Nothobranchius furzeri: one gene and its partner. The protein of the gene in region 2 purifies or fractionates together with the protein of the main gene of each other region. This does not show direct contact. Links are inferred from orthologs where the notes say so. Each region holds a gene or a part of one and is shown on either strand. Other genes may lie near its edges.

Evidence for each region. Proteins that work in one complex are often made in the same cells at the same time.
Region 1: the proteins of rngtt (region 2) and supt5h purify together in Homo sapiens (affinity purification with mass spectrometry; 3 studies listed by BioGRID and IntAct, with this or other methods). This does not show direct contact. The link is inferred for Nothobranchius furzeri from reciprocal best matches to the Homo sapiens genes RNGTT and SUPT5H.

Annotation. Positions count from the first base shown.
Region 1 is NC_091753.1:56,978,927-56,985,524, forward strand, and holds part of supt5h (transcription elongation factor SPT5), read left to right. Parts: intron 1-867; coding exon 868-936; intron 937-1,772; coding exon 1,773-1,838; intron 1,839-1,930; coding exon 1,931-1,961; intron 1,962-2,028; coding exon 2,029-2,097; intron 2,098-2,195; coding exon 2,196-2,447; intron 2,448-2,521; coding exon 2,522-2,611; intron 2,612-2,689; coding exon 2,690-2,760; intron 2,761-2,840; coding exon 2,841-2,946; intron 2,947-3,031; coding exon 3,032-3,122; intron 3,123-3,337; coding exon 3,338-3,474; intron 3,475-3,675; coding exon 3,676-3,831; intron 3,832-3,906; coding exon 3,907-4,053; intron 4,054-4,123; coding exon 4,124-4,270; intron 4,271-4,453; coding exon 4,454-4,579; intron 4,580-4,753; coding exon 4,754-4,838; intron 4,839-6,590; coding exon 6,591-6,598. UniProt on the Homo sapiens protein: Component of the DRB sensitivity-inducing factor complex (DSIF complex), which regulates mRNA processing and transcription elongation by RNA polymerase II.
Region 2 is NC_091742.1:9,447,026-9,453,623, reverse strand, and holds part of rngtt (mRNA-capping enzyme), read right to left. Parts: intron 3,804-6,598; coding exon 3,551-3,803; intron 712-3,550; exon of another isoform or gene 587-711; intron 467-586; exon of another isoform or gene 373-466; intron 189-372; exon of another isoform or gene 99-188; intron 1-98.

The sequences.
Region 1 (6,598 bases), on a different chromosome or scaffold from region 2:
TAATATAGATTTAAAAAACAAGACGGTTATTATTATTGTCAAGTTTTTTACCGGGGTTTACCGCTACACCGGTTACCGTGACAACCCTAGCTCACACCATTGTGCTGTCATTACTCCGCACACATGGTCCCAGCAGGCTGCAGAGGAGGAGCTAAAGGTGAAGCGGCACTGAAAGGCAGAAGTAGATCACGCAGTTTTCACAGAAATGGTCCGATGATGACGGGAATGTCGCTGGTTTGAGGCGTGAAACCTGAAGTTTAGGATATTAATGTAAATCGTTCATGTTAACCTCCAAGTTGAAGGTGTTTTCCATCTGTCTTGTCCGTTCTCTAGTTAGTTCTGGCAAGAATTTAATATTTTTGTAATGTTCTGACTGTAAATAAAGGTTTGTCAAAAAAAAACTAAATAAAAAAAACCTGAAGTTTAACCTAAAAGTCCCAGAATTTCTCAGCAGCTCTTGAGCGTTTGGACCAGAGGCAACTGAGGTATCCTCTGCTAGCGATGGTTTTACCGGTTACCGTGGCAACGCGTCCCTCTGTTAGTCCTGCTGTAATAAAATGGAGTCCTATAGAAGCTTTAGTTGGTGGATCAGACAGGAGGAGCTGCTGTGGGAGTTATGAGCCTCCAGAGAAACCAGATCTGTTCAGCGTCCTCCTGGTGAGAGGGAACCGGTCCGTTAGTTTCACCCCAGCATGTTCTGATTGTGTGTGTGTGTGTGTGTGTGTGTGTGTGTGTGTGTGTGTGTGTGTGTGTGTGTGTGTGTGTGTGTGTGTGTGTGTGTGTGTGTGTGTGTGTGTGTGTGTGTGTGTGTGTGTGTGTGTGTGTGTGTGTGTGTGTGTGTGTGTGTGTGTGTGTGTTGGCTCCCAGAGACTCCAGAGAAGAGGCGCTGGGTGAATACTACATGAGGAAATACGCCAAACCTCCAGCGGGAGAACAGTGAGTCGAACACCCGTTTCTGTTTTGTCCTCTGACTGAAGTCGGACCGGCTTATCGAAGCTTCTTCAGCTGAAATCTTCCATCTTGATGCTGACATCACTTCATGAAAGATGAAAGCTCAGCAGTTCTGGGTTATTTTATTATTTTGGAGTTGTCTAAAATCACGATATATTGAGGATTTCACCTCGATAACGATGAGTGGACGATAACCACAGATATGCGCAGAAACAAAAGCTGTCCACTAGATGGGGCTGTCACGTGTGTTTTGGTACGGCTTCTTAAAGAGCAAGTCACCCCCAAATCAACTTTTTTTTTTGCTGATAAACTATAAACGAGTGTCTAATCGTGCAGTAGACACGTGTATTCAATAATTTGGCACTTCAGTGCGTCTTAGTTCAAATTTAAATATTCTCCCTAAAACTGTCAGTGTTGTGCCGTCGTCAGGGAAAAGTTCTGCACTGTATTTGAATTTGGATCTGCTACGCTATTGGCTAAGAGGTACACTATGATGTCAGCTGATACATTATGATGTCACAATGTCGTTGTCTGCCTGTGAGTGTGTATTTGTTAGCGGCTTCGCCCTCTCGGTCTACCAGGCAACAGCATTTGTTGCATTTTTCAAACAGGAAGTGGGAGTGGAGTAAGTTTCTTGTAGGGGGTGACTTGCTCTTTAAAGAGACACGAGTGTTTCCGAGCTAAACGCATCTTTTCAGTTTCAAATTCATCTACATGGAAAAAATGATCTCGATCAGAGTCAGAAATTTCCATAAGGATACATTTCCATTCATTGTCCAGCCTTACTTTGGACTTTTTATTTCTTCTTCTGTGGTCTATAGTTACTCCGGAGGCTCTGGGGAGCTCTCTGATGACATCACACAGCAGCAACTACTTCCTGGTGTCAAGTATGTATACAGTTCCCCGCCAATTAGCATCCAGACATCTGCTGATGTCACAGGGAGGTCATTTAATCTGTTTTCTGTCACCCTTTCACCAGGGACCCTAATCTGTGGACGGTCAAGTGTAAGGTGTGTAACAGCACACACCCACGCTCACTCGCACACACACACACTTAACCATGACCTGTGTGTACAGATTGGAGAGGAGAGGGCGACGGCCATCGCTCTGATGAGGAAGTTCATCGCCTACCAGTTCACCGACACGGTAAGCGTTCAGTCTCTGGAGGGTGGGTGTGTTGGAGCTGTGATGTCACACGCTCTTAGCACCTGCAGGTGCTTACCTGTTCCGGTTTCCACCCACAGCCTCTCCAAATCAAGTCGGTGGTGGCGCCCGACCACGTGAAAGGCTACATCTACGTGGAGTCGTACAAGCAGACGCACGTGAAAGCCGCCATCGAGGGCATCGGGAACCTGAGGATGGGCTTCTGGAACCAGCAGATGGTTCCCATCAAGGAGATGACGGATGTGCTGAAGGTGGTGAAAGAAGTCACCAACCTGAAGCCCAAGTCCTGGGTCCGACTCAAGAGAGGCCTGTACAAGGACGACATCGCTCAGGTAGCGACCCGTGACACGGCCCGGGGAGGCTCTAGCTGAACTTTGGCCTCAGTAGCTGGCGTTTGTTTACCCAGGTGGACTACGTGGAGCCGAGTCAGAACACCATCTCCCTGAAGATGATTCCTCGGATAGATCTGGACCGGATCAAGGCCAAAATGACTCTGGTAGGAGGAGGATTCCAGGATGGTTCATCTGCAGGAACAGGAACTAGCCACTGACCTTCTGTTGCTTTGTGCTCGCAGAAAGATTGGTTTGCTAAGAGGAAGAAGTTCAAGAGACCTTCTCAGAGGTTATTTGACGCAGAGAAGATCAGGTAGAGGCTGAGACGTTTCTGCTGGTGGAGCTTTGAGCTGGTGGGTGTGAGAGTCTGAAGGTTGTGGTGATGTGTGTTAGGTCTCTGGGCGGGGAGGTCAGCCATGACGGAGACTTCATGATCTTTGAGGGGAACCGTTACAGTCGCAAAGGGTTCCTGTTCAAGAGCTTCGCCATGTCTGCTGTGGTGAGAAAACGCACCTTAGGTCTAGAACCAGGCCCAGGTTTAGGGTTCTGGTTCTCAGCAGCTGGTTCTGGTTGGTTCCTGACAGATCACAGACGGTGTGAAGCCCACGCTGTCTGAGCTGGAGAAGTTCGAGGATCAGCCAGAAGGAATCGATCTGGAGGTGGTGACGGAGTCAGGTAGGCTGTTCCTCTCTGACCCAAACCAGGACCCGGCACCGTCTGGGTTCAGATGAGACCTCTTAGGCTGTTTAACCAATCAGATCATTGCATGATGAAATCACCGTCACGTGGTTCACGCTAGAGCGCGTTTCCCCAAGTTCATGTTCTAGCTATTAATTCTGCAAAATGTCGTGTGCGTGTGTGTGTGTGTGTGCGTGTGTGTGTGTGCGCAGGTAAGGAGCGCGAACACAATCTGCAGGCCGGTGACAACGTGGAAGTGTGTGAGGGGGAGTTAATCAACCTGCAGGGAAAAATCCTGAGTGTCGACGGCAACAAGATCACCATCATGCCCAAACACGAAGACCTGAAGGTACACACACACACACACACACACACACACACACACACACACACACACACACACACACACACACACCCCCACACACACACACCATCAGCTGGTGGAAAAGCTGCTGAACCTTTACATCACGTACACAGTTCTCTGGAATGTGTGTGTGTGTGTGTGTGTGTGTGTGTGTGTGTGTGTGTGTGTGTGTGTTCTCTCTTGCAGGACCCTCTGGAGTTCCCAGCGAGCGAGCTGAGGAAGTATTTCCGGATGGGCGACCACGTGAAGGTGATCGCTGGACGATACGAGGGCGACACGGGTCTGATCGTCAGGGTGGAGGAGAACTTCGTCATCCTTTTTTCGGACCTCACCATGCACGAGGTAGAACCTCTCGTCCAGACCCGTCGCCGTACGTCATGCTTGTCCTAATGTCTCCCGTGCCTCTGCCCTGTCCAGCTGAAGGTTCTACCCAGAGACTTGCAGCTCTGCTCCGAGACGGCGTCCGGTGTGGACGTGGGGGGGCAGCACGAGTGGGGGGAGCTGGTCCAGCTGGATCCACAGACGGTTGGGGTCATAGTCCGACTGGAGCGAGAGACATTCCAGGTATTAGCCCAGCCCTGAGCTGACTGGAACACCGGCGGCTGCGTGGATCTAAGGTCTTCTTGTGTCGCAGGTTCTGAACATGCACGGGAAGGTTCTGACAGTTCGCCACCAGGCGGTCAACCGCAGGAAGGACAACCGGTTCGCTGTGGCGCTGGACTCCGAGCAGAACAACATCCACGTCAAAGACATCGTCAAAGTCATCGACGGGCCGCACTCGGTGAGAATGAGCTGGGTTTGTCTGCTGCGTTAGATGAAGTTTGTCCTCGAGGAACAACAAACCTGATGTCCTTCAGCACCCTGAGGCTCCGCCCACCTCCATGTGGTCCTGATCTGCTTGAGTCCAAACCTCAGATCGGTCCACCGGTTTTTCCGCTGACGTGCGGATGTTTGTCGTCCTCAGGGCCGTGAAGGTGAGATCCGCCACCTGTTCAGAGGCTTCGCCTTCCTTCATTGCAAGAAGCTGGTGGAGAACGGCGGCATGTTCGTGTGCAAGACCCGACACCTGGTTCTGGCCGGCGGCTCCAAGGTGACTTCTGGGTCTGGAGACACGACCATGACTATGCATCTGATTATGTATTTAGTAACAAAACTAATCCGATGTTTCGCGGTTATTCATCTGTTTTCTCAGAACCCGGGTCCGTATGGTCTCTGGGTCTGGTTCTGGTCCACTTTACTGAAACCATTTCATGTCTGTTTTCAGCCGAGAGATGTGACCAACTTCACGGTGGGAGGATTTGCTCCAATGAGCCCCCGCATCAGCAGCCCCATGCACCACGGCGGAGGGGGTGGGTGTGTGGAACCAGAACAGAACCAGAACCATGTATACTGCTGGGAAAGCCCAGCTGACTGAGTTTTCCTTAAATGGAGAATTAAAAAAATATCTTTGGATCCTCGTGAGACTTCTGGGTCCAAACGGACCAGAACTTTTGGCTCTGGAACCGGGAGTTATATTTAAACGTTGGAGCGGGTCCGGCTATTTCCTGGGTCGTGTTTGAAACCTTTCAGCCAGGAATTTAAAGTTCCTGTTTACAGAAGAGCTCCTAATGAGGTTCTAGGTAGGAGTTCATGTTGGATGTTTGTAGAACCCGGAGTGCTTCCGTCCTTCACCGGTCCTGTGTGGGACGTCTCAGAGCAGATGGGACGTGTGGTCGTGTCTTCATGTTTATGTTTATGTATTTAGCAGACGCTTTTGTCCAAAGCGACTTACAAGTGATAATCGGCATGTTGCCCTTGAGGCTAACAACAACAATAACAACAACAACAACTTGACATCAGTCATGGAGAGTAGGGAACAAGGAGTGGACAGTAGAGAGGGGGACGGGTGCAGGGAGGGTGCTAGTTTAGAAGATGCTCTCTGAAGAGCAGGGTCTTCAGGAGTTTCTTGAAAATTGAAAAGGAAGCCCCTGTTCTGGTAGTGCTTGGAAGGTCATTCCACATTTGTGGAACGATGCATGAGAAGAGTCTGGATTGTCCTGAGCGTGGTGTAGGCACTGCTAGCCGACGATCCTGTGATGACCGGAGCGGCCGGGCCGAGACGTAAGCCTTTGCAAGAGGATTCAGGTAGATGGGAGCCGTACCATCTCGGACTTTGTATGCTAGTGTTAGCTATTTGAATTTGATGCGTGCTGCTAGCGGTAGCCAGTGGAGCTCAATGAACAGAGGGGTGACGTGTGCTCTTTTTGGCTGATTGAAGACCAGACGCGCCGCTGCGTTCTGGACCATTTGAAGAGGTCTCACAGTACAGGCTGGAAGACCAGTTAGAAGGGCGTTGCAGTAATTGAGGCGGGAGATGACGGTAGATTGCACCAGGAGCTGGGTGGCATGTTGTGTTAGGTATGGTCTGATCTTTCATATGTTCTACAGCACAAAGCGTCATGAACGAGCAACAGAGGCAACGTGATCTTTAAAGGTCAGGTGTTCATCAATCACAACACCCAAACTGCCTTTGAAGGAGCCAGAGATAGGAAGTCATTTTGGATTGAGATATTGTGCTGTATGGATGGTTTTGCTGGGATGACGAGTAGTTCAGTTTTAGAGAGGTTGAGTTGGAGATGGTGGGATTTCATCCATTTTGATGTGTCAGAGAGACAGTTTGATATTCGTGCAGAGACAGTGTGGTCGTCCGGTGGAAATGACAGATAGAGCTGGGTGTCGTCTGCATAGCAGTGGTAGGAGAAGCCTTGTGATCGAATGATCTCACCCAGTGAGGCGGTGTATATGACAAAGAGAAGGTCCTAGTACAGAGCCCTGGGGGACTCCTGTGGCAAGATGGTGCATGGTAGAGGATTGTCCAAGCCAAGATACACTGAATGATCGTCCTGTGAGGTACGATTCAAACCAGGCGTGTGCTTTCTCTGTGATGCCCATGCTAGAGTGTGTGGACAAAAGGAAGCCATGGTTGACAGTGTCAAATGCAGACGATAAGTCAAGCAGGATAATGCCTTAATTATAGTTCTTCTAAAATATGTATTTCCTGTTTTATGGAGCCGTTGTAAAACCTTTAGAGATGATCTGTTACCGTGGGTTTTATCCTTCAGGAGCTCAG
Region 2 (6,598 bases):
AATTCGAAGACTCCTTCAAATGCGGTCGACGAATGCGGCCTTCTTTTCGCCTGAATGAAGGATGGGTCCGGTGTATCCTTCAACAGGTAGCATTTCCCAAGATGCCTTGCGGGCCGGCCGGCAGAAAAACTTAAAAACAATGGCGGACAGTGAAGCGGGAGCTGTCGGAGAGGATTGCGCATATAAATGTCAGTATAAACTTGAAAACTGTTAGGTTAAGGACTTTTTGTGATACATGAACGTTATTTTAGTTAGAAATGTTACAGTAAAAGTGCTTGTATTGCGGTCTCGGCTCATATGTTCGGCCGCGCTCGGTGTCGTACTTCTCCCGCTACGTTTTCCCCCTGATTTTAATAGAAGTTTGTATTTTAGGAACAAAAGAGAAAACCAGGGAATTTATTAAGCTTAGGGCGGAGATGGACCACATGATCACCGGAGCAAAGTATTCGGCGGCTGTGGCATGGAGGTACAATAACATCTCATATTTTAAAAACTCGTTTGAGTTTATTTTTTCTGCGAAAACAAGAAAGGAATAACCCGTTGTCCTCTTTTCTCTTCCTGTTTCTTTTCTTACATGTTTGTTAAGACTATTCTGGAGAAAATGGGCATCCAGGGGAAGGTGCCAGCGATGACCAGCTTCTGGAGCTGATCAGGGAGGACATGAGGCTGCAGATGGAGGCAGAGCAGCAGAGGGCACAGGAGAGAAGGGAGAACTTTGACAACTTTTTACTTTGCTAGAAAAAAATGGTTAATAAAGATTAAACATGTACATATAAAAGAAATATCTAAATAAAATCAGTTCTGCATTAAACTCTTGAATTTTATTTTTGTTTACAAATGAGAATTGTTCAATATTACCGGGTATCCGCTGGGTCTTAAAGTCTTAAAAGGTGATAAATTGGTTTTGGTCAAATTAAGACCCTTAGAAAGTATTAAAAACTATTATCACATCTTTGCTCAGGCTCAGCTTGTCTAAAGTATTTTCTCTGAATTAGCTCTCCAACAGTCAAGGAAATGATTAACCCCCAGAGACCCACGGTTGTAATATTACAACATCAGATTTAAGTCTACAAGAATAAACCTTCCCCATTTTTTTTCTTTTTTAAAACTACATTTACATTGCTAATAGGTCCTATTGTTCAGTTCTGCAACACTATTGGCTGTTAAAATGTGTAAATAGGCCCGTTTATCTGGCCTCCTAGAACAACATGTGAAAGGTTAAAAAAAGATTTTGCAGTTGTTTTCTAAATTTGGGTTTCTGGGGGTTAAAAAGCTAAATAAAACGTCGAGCTCCATCGTTTAAAGTTCCTTCTCCCTTCTGCCCAGCGGTTCCACGGTTGCTAGGCGACGGAACGTTCGCGGAGGGAGTTCATGAAGGCTAGGCCTGTCCAAATTCACAGCCGTTAACATCCGGTCTACCCGGCCGACGGAGGACCCAGCCCACGTCGGCCGAGTGGGCTGGGTCCTTCGAAGGATGCAGACCCTGAATTGAGACACAGCCGTTGTTGATTCCTGGATGCTAAAACAACAGCCTTCGCCGTCGCAAGCCAAGATTGGATCTGTCAGTGTTTTTAAATCCTAAGGTTTTACCAGCTATTTTCTGTCAGAAGCTAATGCAGGAGATACCGTAAGCAGCTGGAATCAGCTTCCTCAATAGGGCGGCCATGTTTGGCCTTCAGTGAGAAGCTGAGGAATGTTAGAGCCGCTGCTCCTCCTGATCAAATGGAGTAATCAGAGATGGTTCGGGCGTCTGACCAGTAACCGGACTCTGGAGGTTTGCCAGACACAACGACTTTTTAACAAAAATAAAACTGATTGTTTTTGTGGAGCCGAGTAAAACTGACTGAAAATATATCAAATTAACTCAAAATAATTCTACTTTAATACTATTTACCTTTTATCAGCATTTTGCCTCTCATCCTAGAGGTTTCTTCAGTTCCCATACTTTGGTTGTGGTCAGAAACAAAAACACTGATCAGCAGAAGCTCCGGAGGGGGAGCGGGTTGTCCAGCAATCGGAAAGTTGCTGGTTCAATCCCGGCTCCGACCAAATAATGCTGCTGTTGTGTCCTTGGGCTAGACACTTAACCCTCCTCGCCTGCTGGTGGTGGTCAGAGGGGCCAGTGGTGCCAGTGTTCGAAGGTCTCGCCTTGGTCAGTGCGCCCCAGCGCAGCTGTGGCTACACTGTAGCTAATCACCACCACCAGCGTGTGAATGGATGAATGACTGATTGTGTTGTGAAGCACTTTGGGGGGTTGTTGAGCCCCAAGAAGGCGGTATACAAATACAAATTGACCATTTCCTTCTTTCTTGCTGGCTTTTGTCTAAACGAAGGTGATGTTATTGTTCATAGAGTTAAAATTCATGTTGAAGTTCAGATTATTTCATCAATAAGATGTGTGGTTAGCTCGCTCATTTAATACATGAAATGTTTTTGGATCCTGCCTCTTGAAAGAACCGTAATCGTGAACGGATAGTAACCGGAATCGAAACAAGGAACTGGAATCGGAATCGTTCAAATATCCATGAGTAAAGATTTGGTCCTTTTTTCAATAAACTAGGTTAATTTAAAGAGAAAATCCCAACAGTAACTTAAAATGGTCTTGTTTTGATAATAAATAATCGATAATTATTTTGGATAATTAAAAATCTCCAGTTTGTTTAACAGAATTAAAACCTTGCTGCATCATCCTACTGTGAACTGTTCATAATATTATAATAATTATGAATTGCTTAGCCTTACGTGACTTCCTTATGTAATTTACCATCAGCAGTATATTCTGGCTTCCTCTTAAATGCTTTGTTAGAACAGAGTGCAACAGACTGAGACCGGGATCTAATCTCAGATTAAAAATCTCTGAGCGAGAAAAGCTTTCAAACAAACTGTGACCATGCTCTGAAGACCTGACCTCCACGGTCCCACAGAGCTGCTGCAGAGGGAGCTTTAGATGACCACAAAAACAATCGCACACGCCATTAAAGCAGCATCCCAGTGGCTATAACTCCACAGCACAGCCAAACCGCCTCAGACTAGTCGAGACGAGCTTCTCAGCCAACAGACAGTAGTTCTTAATGAAAGCTGCAGACTGAAGAGCTGCTGCAGCGACGACGGCGCTCTCCTTCTGATCCGTCTGGTGCATCGCATTCTCGGCTATTAGATTTGCCTTGATTCAGCTCTTCAATAAGCTCTGTGTGCAATAAAAGTGACAAATGCAAGTTCTGTCCATGTGTTTTAAACAAATGTGTCACAGCGGCGAAAGTTATTTACTTTCTTCCGTTCCATCCGTCGATAACAGCTCGTTATCTCACTGGCTGGGCTTTAAATGTTCCAGGCTGGACTGAAACTAAACATGAGTAATGAATTAGACTGATTTTAACTTAATGAAAATTACAGCTGCAGTAAAGGAGCTGCGGTGGACTGGCTCTCTATCCAGGGTGTACCCCCCCCCCCCCCCCCCCCCCCCCCCCCGCGCGACCCTACGTAGACAAAGCAGGTTCAGACAATGGATGGATGCAGTAACAGAGTTTTTATTTGTGTTTTTGCTTCCTACCAGCTTTAGCTTCTCTTTCTTTCTTTTCCCAGGGGCCGACCCCGAGGAGCTGGGGCCAGACTCCTGACCGACCGTGTTACCGTCATCGTCCCCTTCGTCCTCGTCGCCGTCGTCAAAGCACCACTCGGGCAGTTCAGGTGCAGGGGGTGTGTCCTCCACATCACCATAGCGACAGAAAAGCTCTTTGAGGTAGTCCCCCTTATAGATCCCAGGGGCCCGTGCCTGGGCGAAAGCAGCTACAGCTGCCTCCACGCTGATAAGGAAAGGCAGAACAGAGAGGAACATTTACTGTAGACAAAAGAAATACTGACATCATATGTTTGGTGGTTTTAGCTGGGACATGCCTAATAATAATAAAAATTAACTAATCCAAATTAAATATAGAAATTTCTTCATTTCCTTTATGCTTTTATATTTTGCTGAAGGCTCTGGATCATTGTCGGTCAACACCTCACAATTAACTCTTTTATTTGACTCATTGGGAGTCAGGTATTTTCTTACGACTGCTCATCATTTTGAAGTTGTTTGAGAGTAAAATAAGATTTCCAATCTCAGTCATCCGCCAAGAAGGGCTTTAACATGCAGCTGAATCATAAAATCATATTAAAGTGTACGTTTGTGAATATTTTAATGGATCAAACCAGACGAGATTCTTTACCTTTTGTTTGAAACGGTCTGCTAGTGTGCTGTAAAATAATCCTGCATTAGCTATGCTCCTCATCACCTGTTTAGGTCTGACGGTGTCCCATCTGTTGCACCGATCTCCACCGCATCGACGACATTTCAACTATAATATCCTTTTGAAAATGAAATGTGCTTTCCTTACGGAAAATAAAAGCATGTTTGCCATGTGCCTGAGCCACGGCTGTTGTGGACAAGCTAATCCTGGAAGCCGTTAGGGAATTACTGCAACATAGTTAGGGCAATAATACTTACAGAAGATCATTTTACGGCAAAAAGCAAAAATGACAAAGCAGAAGGCTTTCCTAAAAAATAAATAAATAAAGATGTGTTCTCTCCGACTGAACGGCTTCACCACAAACTGAAGTCACCATCTGGTCGGTTCATCTGACTGGTTCATGCTGGACTGACAGACGACAGCAGACTCATCGTGTCAGCAGTCAACGTCTTCTCTCTTCCTTTAGCCAGCGGCTTCCAAACACGACCTTCTGTGCAGCCAAACATCTGGTGCATCAGGTTTGCCCCTGCTATTTCTCTAACGGATATCATTTTGTTTTTGCAGCCTGAGGACGGAGTGCTTCATCTGAACACAGCTCTTTAAACCACATGCTCTCTGTGAAAATGCTTCTACATGCAGATGACACGCTTAAACTTCAGGGACCAGATGCAGAAAACGAATCATTTCTACAGAATGGTGAAGACTTTAAAGGGGTCCTAGAACTCTAAACTACATTTACCTTGTTGTTGTTGAACATAGGCAGCTTGAGGTGTCTAAAGTAGCACACCAGAAAGTCTCTGACCAGCTTTACTACGCAAACTGACAATGGTGTAATGGCTGCTGAGAAACTGTTTGTTCGGAGAAAAGCTGGATTAGCATGTCGTCAGCATAGATACACACCCTTAAATCTGCACGCCCCAAACCCACTTCAGTGTCTGCAATATAGAAATGTTGGTGACAGTAACGCTCGCAGCCGTACGCTAGCCCCAGCTACTGCTAACGTCCTCGTTGGAAAAGAGGAAAACTACTAACTACTACTACGGCTCTGCCGGAAAATATACTAATGTTTTTTTGTAAAGAGGGAAAGTAAATATGATTTAAGAGGTGTATGTATGTTTGTTCTACAAAAAGCCAAAAATGGCATGAAAAGGAGATGTATCTCTGTAATGGGAGTAAAATTTTGGAATGAGGCTAAAATAGAATTAAAATTAGCAACTTCTCTTTCAGTTCTTAAAAAACTTATCAGTAAAAATATTTTTGAAGAGTATTAATTTGATGTTGATGGATGGATTTGCGTTTTAGTTTTATTTGGGTTGTTGGTTCATTGCGGGAAATTGAAAAATTGTTTTGTAAGTAGGTTAGGCAATTATATAAGCCCAAACCGATTCAGTCATGAGATACCAAATAGACACCACATACAAATGAATGCATATGTTAGTGAGAAATGGTATTTGTATCTATTTGTATGACAAGTTATTGTACACATTATCTTAAGATGACTGACTGAATAAATTGATCATTCATTCTTTCACTAAGAAGGTTGAAGCACACAAGTAATGTTCCAGGATGAATTGGGAATGTCTAGACTTTGAATGAATGCCAGACAGCTCCATAGCTTGCCTGTTGAATAGTCTGGATACATTACACAGCACAGAGTTTCTAGATTCAGGCATCATAGGCGTAAATCAGCTAATCAGCACGCGTCTCATTTAATAATGGTGCCCTGGCCTAGTGGGCACGGTGAACCAGTCATTGCCTTGTAAGGCTTTATAGGGCAAACGTTGTACCGATCTCTCGTTGTGAAGAGCGAGCTGGGCCAGAAGGAGAAGCTCTCAATTTACCGGTCGATCTACGCTCCTACCCTCTTCTATGGTCACGAGCTTTGGGTAACGACCAACAGAATGATATCACGGATACAAGCGGCCAAAATGAGTTTTCTATGCAGGGTGGCTGTATTGCTGAGGTGGCTCGGGCATCTGGTCAGGATGCCTCGTGTCTCGTCTGGCCAGGGAACGCCTTGGGATTCCCCCTGGAGGAGCTGGCCAAAGCGGCTGGGGAAAGGGAAGTCTGGGCTCCCTATCCATTTACAAAATGTAAACACATGTATCAAGACTCTGTGGGAGAGTTTGTTTTCAAATAAAGATGCCATTATTAGTAGCCTTCATCGAACCTTACTTAATGAAGACTTTAAGTGATTGTAATTCCAGCAACAGCCCAAAAATAACAAATGAATAATAAAAACAGGACGGCTGTTGACTGTTTAATAGCTGAATTATCTCACGCCACATTAATAGTGGATGACAGCTGAGAATAATCATTTCACAGGAAACAGTGGGAGGTGGGAGGGTCTGATTCTGCCTCCGTGTCTC